Linked DNA regions of Bombyx mori. The protein of the gene in region 1 interacts with the protein of each later gene in a pairwise test. Links are inferred from orthologs where the notes say so. Each region holds a gene or a part of one and is shown on either strand. Other genes may lie near its edges.

Region 1 (2,547 bases):
AAATGTTTGCCTTCGTCATTATTGGGAGGGGAAAAGAACAATACGTATGTATGTACGGACAAAACGAAACCCGTGTTTCCTTATATTGGTTTCAATAACATTCAACTCGACACGGCAGACTAGCTAACGACGTTTTTTTTTTTTTTTTTCGTCTTCGTTGTGTGGAAAAAATACAAGTACTATAAAAATTCAGGTCATGGATTTTTATTTAATCTTAGTTTCCCAAAATAGACTTACTGGAGAAGCTACTTCACTATTTTGCGTCACGGAATATCGGTAGCGTGGCCGAGCGGTCTAAGGCGCTGGTTTAAGGCACCAGTCTCTTCGGAGGCGTGGGTTCGAATCCCACCGCTGCCAATTTTTTTTTTATTTGCCCCAAAATATTACATAAATATTACTCAATCTAATTATACTGTTGTATTTTAAAAATATATATGCTTATTCGCAAGGCTGCTCAAGATAAATAAATTGTTTATTACATAAGTTGACCTTTTCCATGGAGTTCTCGGAACGCCTTATGGTGACCGGTAAAATCGAGGGAAAAAGGCCAAGGGGTAGAGATCCCAAACGATGGTCGGACCAAATAGTGGATGAACTAAAAATACCTGTCAGCGACGCCCTCCATTAAGCTACAGAACGGGATCGATGGAGACAGCTAGTTGACGGAATCAAACGGAGTCACGATCCTCAGCAATGAGCGACCGATTGAAGAGAGTATAGAAGTGCAATTATTACATTACAGGTACAAAAATAAATAAATTAAAACATTCATTCATTTGGAATTATTGTTACTCTTCTTTTTGAAGATCAGAAAATCTTTTAACATCATACATTCACATTCTCCTTACTAGTTTTTGCTATGGATAGGTGAACTCATGGCCTAATATTAAGGGGTTTGGAAGCCTATGAACCTCGCTACGTGAATGCTGCACTCCTCTTTGAGACACGGGGCGGTAGTCTCAAGCCGAAACGGAGGACTGCTTAGCAACAGAAATATGATGGAACAAAAAGTACCTCCAGATCTGCACCGGCGAGCACAGCCGTCCTCAGATCGCAGTTTTGTAAGTTGGCGTTCTTTAGTGTTGCCACTCTCAAATTAACCCCCGACATATTACTGCCTTCTAGATTTGCTCCTGAAAATTATTTTCTCTTTTAACCAACCAATTTGGATCACTTCATTGTTTGTTAGTGACCCAAAATACTGTACTAGCATTGCGCATTCAATTAGAGAAGATCTTTGTTACACTACTATTGAGGACTTCACTTAAACTTTGTTTGGAGAAAGAAGTCAAAGCGCTCAAGAAACACAGAGTTCATTCCAAAGTACGTTGGATCAATTTGACGTACACTGTCAAATTGATCTCTGTGGATCATCACAAATAATTTATCCCAGATCCTCTAATTTTTGGTTAAATAAAATATAGACTCATAATTCAAAAACAATTCAACAAAGACGATACGCTTTCGTAAAATTTTCCATCTTATTGTAAAGAATTGGAGTGCTACCAAAAAATAATATTGTACCTACATGTTTTTTTATTTTTATTAATACTATTTTGCTAGTTATTTGGTACTAGTGATGGTTATTCAACGTAAATAAATATGATGTCTTGGTTGCTCTTTCCCTCAAAACAAGACTTGTATTCACCAATATATTATTATTAATTTCATAGCTATCAAATAATAGCCATTATCTATATTAGTATTGGCTTAGCTAAATACCAATGTGGCCACTGGCATGCCACTGTATGGCAATACAGTGTATAAATGCACATACCACTCTAATTAGAATTGAATGTACCTTTAAGATTAACGCCTTCCATCAGTGCTTTGTTACCGTGAGGATCATCCATATTGCAACCTTTTAAATTAGCACCTGTAAATAAGCTCAAATATCTCATTAAAAATTTTATACTAATATTAAACAGAATGTGACTATGGAATTGTGGGAAATTTTCGAAGAAACTTGCCTAATGTTTTCTGAGTGCTATGACATTTTCTCCATTAAATGAGGTTTAAGTACTCAGCGGTAGGCAGTGGCTTTGTCCCAAGTTTTGCTTAAGTCCATGAGGGTCAGTGATCACTCGACATATTCGGTGCCTGTGTACAGTAAGTACATTTAAAGTTTTATTTATTTATTGTAACTATTATTATACGCCTTTTTTTCGTATCTTCATGTATTTAGGTACTATATTTTCTTTTAAATCTTTCTCTATGTTTTATATTGTAAATTCTTTTTATACGGACCTTCCATGTTAGCACATAAAGCTTTAACTCCAAGAAGCTGGGCACCTTCTAAATTAGCATGCGACAAGTCCGCCCTTTCCAGACAGCAGTAAGACAGATTAGCACCACTCAAATTGCACCGAGATAAGAAGGCATACTGAAAAAAAAAATTGCACTATTTTCAATTGTTTTTTTATTTATTGCTTAGATGGGTGGACGAGTTCACAGCCCGCCTGATGTTAAGTGGTGACTGGAGCACATAGACATCCACAACGTAAATGCGCCACTCACCTTGAGATATAAGTTCTAAGGTCTCAAGTA
Region 2 (4,595 bases), on another chromosome or scaffold:
CTTTTATATGCTCTCATTGATAAAATACATTTTTAAGATTAAGTAAAATTTATGGGTATTTTAAAATTTGTGCTGCTTTCTTCTTAAATCTAGTATGCTACTTTAATTTTTAAGTTAACGTATGGGCACAATAATTAATGCATTTTAGGTTCTTTGAAGAATAAATGTCGAGTAAATTAAACTAACAATAATCACAATATAGTAGGTTATTGTAATAAATTTTATATATTCTTGATTTGCTCATTTTGCTGATGCATTTAAAATTGCGCCAATTATAACAGCAATATAGTTAAAAATCTAAGCGATACAATTAAAACCTTATAACCAGTTATATATTAATAAATTTTTAATAAATATTTACGAATATAACAAGTATTTTCATTCCAATAAAATTGTTTTAATTTCTGGATTAACATGAAGGTAAATTTATATTTACTAAGGGTGCTAGGGAAGAATAAAGAAGTGTATAAAAGTTGTTACAAAATTTTGAAATAGATTTAACAACATACAAAAGCTACTCACAACAATATACATTTTAATAAAAATTACTTCAATTTTATATTATCACTCAAGATAACATAAATTTAGTAAATAAAGTTTAATTCAGTCATAACAAGTATCAAATAATCTTTATTATGTTTTATAGTTACTCACCAAAATTAACATTGAATTCTTTTATAATTTATGGTAGCCTGTTATGAGAATTGCAATTAGCCCACATTTCATTGTTTGAAGTACAGTCATGCAATGTTGTAAATTCCTTTGGCGATCCTAATAATAAATAAAATTTTAAAACTCTACTTACTTACTTACAATTCAATATTTGAAATTATAGCACTAGCCTCTTGATTATATACTTACAAATTTTATTATAAGTATTAGTTATCTATCTAACTTGCCATTTGCTTATTATTAAAAGGATAATCTTTTTATATTAGATAATATACTAACATGACGATAGAAAGCACTTAACAAGTAAGTAATAAAGGTATGTAATTTTTTTTATTATAGTTGTGTTTAATGTCAAAATACCACGAACTTGTATGTCATGGGTTCTTAATTATTAGTAGTGAGTGATTTTAATTAAATCAATGTGTGCTTTATCATTTTATTAAAAGATAAAAGTGAATGTGATTTATGTGTTTACTCAAAATCATTTTTTCAAGTCCTTTTATGTCAACTAAAATAAGTATGGAAAAATATTTAAAAATTCACAAATAAATAAATCATTATCAAATAAAGTGTAATGTTGTCAAACTGTACAAAAATTAATATTTACTAAATGGCAATCGAATCACAGATTTATTTTTTAGGGATGTACAAAAACAATTACTAACAGATTACTAAAACATAATCAACAAAAACCAATTATAAAGATAATTTAAACTAAATTATATTTAGGACTATCTAGGCTTCATTTTTGTACTACTTGTTAATTTTGTAGAAACGTTGGACAAAATCTGTCAAGTTGTAGACCTGCCCAGGTCCTGTGTCTACATCCATATTGATGTACTCATCCAAGTTGTGTGTTGAGACTGAAAGGTCAGATTTTAATAAAACCTTAAGATTTTGTGACAACATACTTTATTATCGAGCAAAGTATGAGATGCAAGCAAAGGTTGATTCAATTATATTTAATCAATTTTCTAAATTATTTAATGTTAAAATAGCTGATATTAAATACAAACTATCAAAGCCCATGTAGCTAGAAGGTATCAAATGTTGCCATGACTACTTTAGCATACAACAAAAGTTGACCTCATTCATTTTAATAATTATACTTTATCATGCAACAATGGGTGTGGCTCACTAACCTGAAGTGCTTATTGCTGGGTAGGGTGGTGGGGGTTTAATCCATGAACCATCTGGTCTTTTCATATGACGTCTATCTGATGAAAAAAGTTGCAGAAATTGTTTTGCAGTCACAACACGAAAGAACCTAAAACATATTTTTTTTTATTAAACACCCAACCACCAATTTAATATGTTTAAATTATAATATTAATATTTTTTCGCTATGTTTTAATTTTAATGAAAATTCAGTTTTTTACTATTTTCTATACATTTCTTTTAAAGGGACACTTTATTAAATTACTTAAACCATAATTTGAGTGTATTTTTGCCACAACAAGCATAACTATAGCCCCTTCGATTGTAAGTGGTACCAATCATGCCAGGGGTACAAAAAACTAAACACAAAACAAAAAACTGCTAGGTATCTATATTTTAATTAAATCAGTAAATCTTACCTGTGGAAATCTGATTTGAGGACTTGGTCTGTGCGAAAAGTTTCTGTTACATATTTGTGGAAAAATGTTGGAAATGGTAATTCTGAATCAAGATCATATACAAGACAAGACTTGATATCCACAGAATACAGGAATATCACATGATAATCCTGAAACCAGAAAAATAAGTTAAATAAATAGGGTTGAACAATATTCATATACTTTAGATCTATTTTCTGAGATTATTTTTTTATTTTTATTTTTAACATCGTAAAAAAATATTATATATAATATGTATGTATGTCAACAATTTGTAAAATTCATGAATTACCTGTTAAACTTGTTAATAGATTTATTGATTGTAAGCTAAGTAACAACAAAACAAAAACCAAAAACGATGTATTGGTACACACCCATATGACGAGACGATCTTCTTCACGCCCGGCCCTTTGTTTCCAAAGAGGCACTGTGCGGCAAGGGTTCGAAATGAAAACGACATAGCATCTATCCAATTCCTCGGGTACTCTCAATGAAACGTCTTGGCAAAGTTTCCAAACGTTTTCCTCACTAAAAAATTGAATAAACAGAGACATTATTGCAAATTTCAACAAAGAATTTTCAGAAAGTGTGCGGAAATTACTACATACCAATAACAGGACACATGAGAACATTCCTCACGTTTAGGGAATAAAGGTTTTATTATAGTTTTATCACTCTTTATAATATTTGCATTGCTGTTTAAATGCATTTGTGCATTTACCGACATTTTGACAGTTTAATATCTATGCAACGAACTTCAACGAAGGTTTCAAACAAACATAAATCTAGATTCTAGAGACAGAGACTATTGGAGAACGTTTTTTAAGGGATTTTATGACCTGGTAACTAAGACCTTTAGGCCAAGTCTTATTTTAGTTTTTATTCTTATTTTATGAAAAATGATAATATGGAGTCAAATGATATGAAATGAAATGAAGATGATTAATTTGAGACATTAATCAACTGGGATGAAATTAAATGAAATGTTTCATTTTCCCACATTTGTGCACTATCACAGATATTTAATAGTTAATAAACCACCGTTATTACACATTTAAACATAAAAAAAACACTAAATAGACAAAATAAAACAAATCACACAACTTCACTCTTCGTGTTACCGCCAAAAAGTCCTTTGGAGAACGTGTGTAGCCAAATTCAGATTAAACACTTAATATTTGAGAGCCAAATTTAACCCATTTCCACACTGTGTGTTGTAGTCGTGTCACAGACTATATAGAGATAGGTATCTACTACCTAATATCTCTGTTGAATTTCTACTTCTAAAATACTCCTACGAGATCACTGCGCCTAGGGGGCACGCGGGGTACGTGGGACTTGAGGATCTGCAGATGTTGGGAGCAGAAAGCGAACCCAAGGAGTTTCAGGGCCCTACCGCATTAAACGACTCCCCTGCATATTTATACCCGACGTCCGATCATCACCCGAGGTCAGAACCCGGTTAGAGTAGGAGGTTCCTGCGGTCAACACTACAACCATACTCGCGATGCCGCCCGCCACCTCCAGGACAGCCAACCGACGCGTTGACGGTTGTCTAGGCTAGGATAGTCGACGACTAACGACGCCGATCTCCGCGTTACGGCGGCCCTGCCAGGCCGTCCAGGCGTTGCCGCAGGTGTTCCATGATACCTTGCTGGGTCAGAACCAGCCTGCCGGGTCGGAACGCGATACACCGCCGACCGGGTTGCTCTTCCACAGTATATTCGGGGACGACAGCGACGACGACAACGTGGCCTGGTGCCAGCGTGCTAGAGTGACGGCGTGGTAGCGTGCAGCGCAGCCTCAACCCCCTCAGGTCGCCCTGTGACCGTCACCGGGAGGAAACTGCCTCCTCACAGGGGCTGGAGCTGGACGAACGCCCTCCTCCGAACCCCAGCTTGGTGGGGGTGGCATGGTGCGCGGGCACACGAAGAAGAGCTCTACCTCTCCCGTTCCGCCGCCTCCTTCTGTGAGATGGTGGACTCGCAAAGCCGAGCATCGCCTGCCAAGACTCGTCGCTGCCGAGCATTGTAGCCACGACGTTCGGAAGCGACAAGTCTGGTCCTATTTTTGCAACGAGGAAGCGGCGCCACTCCGCGAAAGCAGGACAGTACGTGAGTGTGTGCTCCGCCGTGTTCTCCTTACAGCCGCTGCAGTGGTGGCACTTCGGCATCGGCTCCCTCCGGGCGACGAGGTGCAGGTAGCGACCGAAATAGCCGTGTTCCGTAAGTACATGCGTCGCTCGGAAGGTGAGACGTCTTCGGGATTCACCCAGTCCGAGAGGACTGGGCGGATCGCCTCGACGGTTCATCGCCCGTAGGGCTAACT

Evidence for each region.
Region 2: the proteins of BTB/POZ domain-containing protein KCTD9 (region 1) and protein N-terminal glutamine amidohydrolase interact in binary tests that used the Homo sapiens proteins (3 or more experiments, as listed by UniProt). The link is inferred for Bombyx mori from reciprocal best matches to the Homo sapiens genes KCTD9 and NTAQ1.

What each region holds. Positions count from the first base shown.
Region 1 is NC_085132.1:6,119,135-6,121,681, reverse strand, and holds part of BTB/POZ domain-containing protein KCTD9, read right to left. Parts: intron 2,384-2,547; coding exon 2,248-2,383; intron 1,877-2,247; coding exon 1,802-1,876; intron 1,134-1,801; coding exon 1,015-1,133; intron 358-1,014; exon of another isoform or gene 276-357; intron 1-275. UniProt on the Homo sapiens protein: Substrate-specific adapter of a BCR (BTB-CUL3-RBX1) E3 ubiquitin-protein ligase complex, which mediates the ubiquitination of target proteins, leading to their degradation by the proteasome.
Region 2 is NC_085111.1:12,730,935-12,735,529, reverse strand, and holds the start of protein N-terminal glutamine amidohydrolase, read right to left. Parts: upstream 3,085-4,595; 5' UTR 2,995-3,084; coding exon 2,876-2,994; intron 2,796-2,875; coding exon 2,642-2,795; intron 2,399-2,641; coding exon 2,250-2,398; intron 1,940-2,249; coding exon 1,815-1,939; intron 1,536-1,814; coding exon 1,426-1,535; 3' UTR 1-1,425. UniProt on the Homo sapiens protein: Mediates the side-chain deamidation of N-terminal glutamine residues to glutamate, an important step in N-end rule pathway of protein degradation.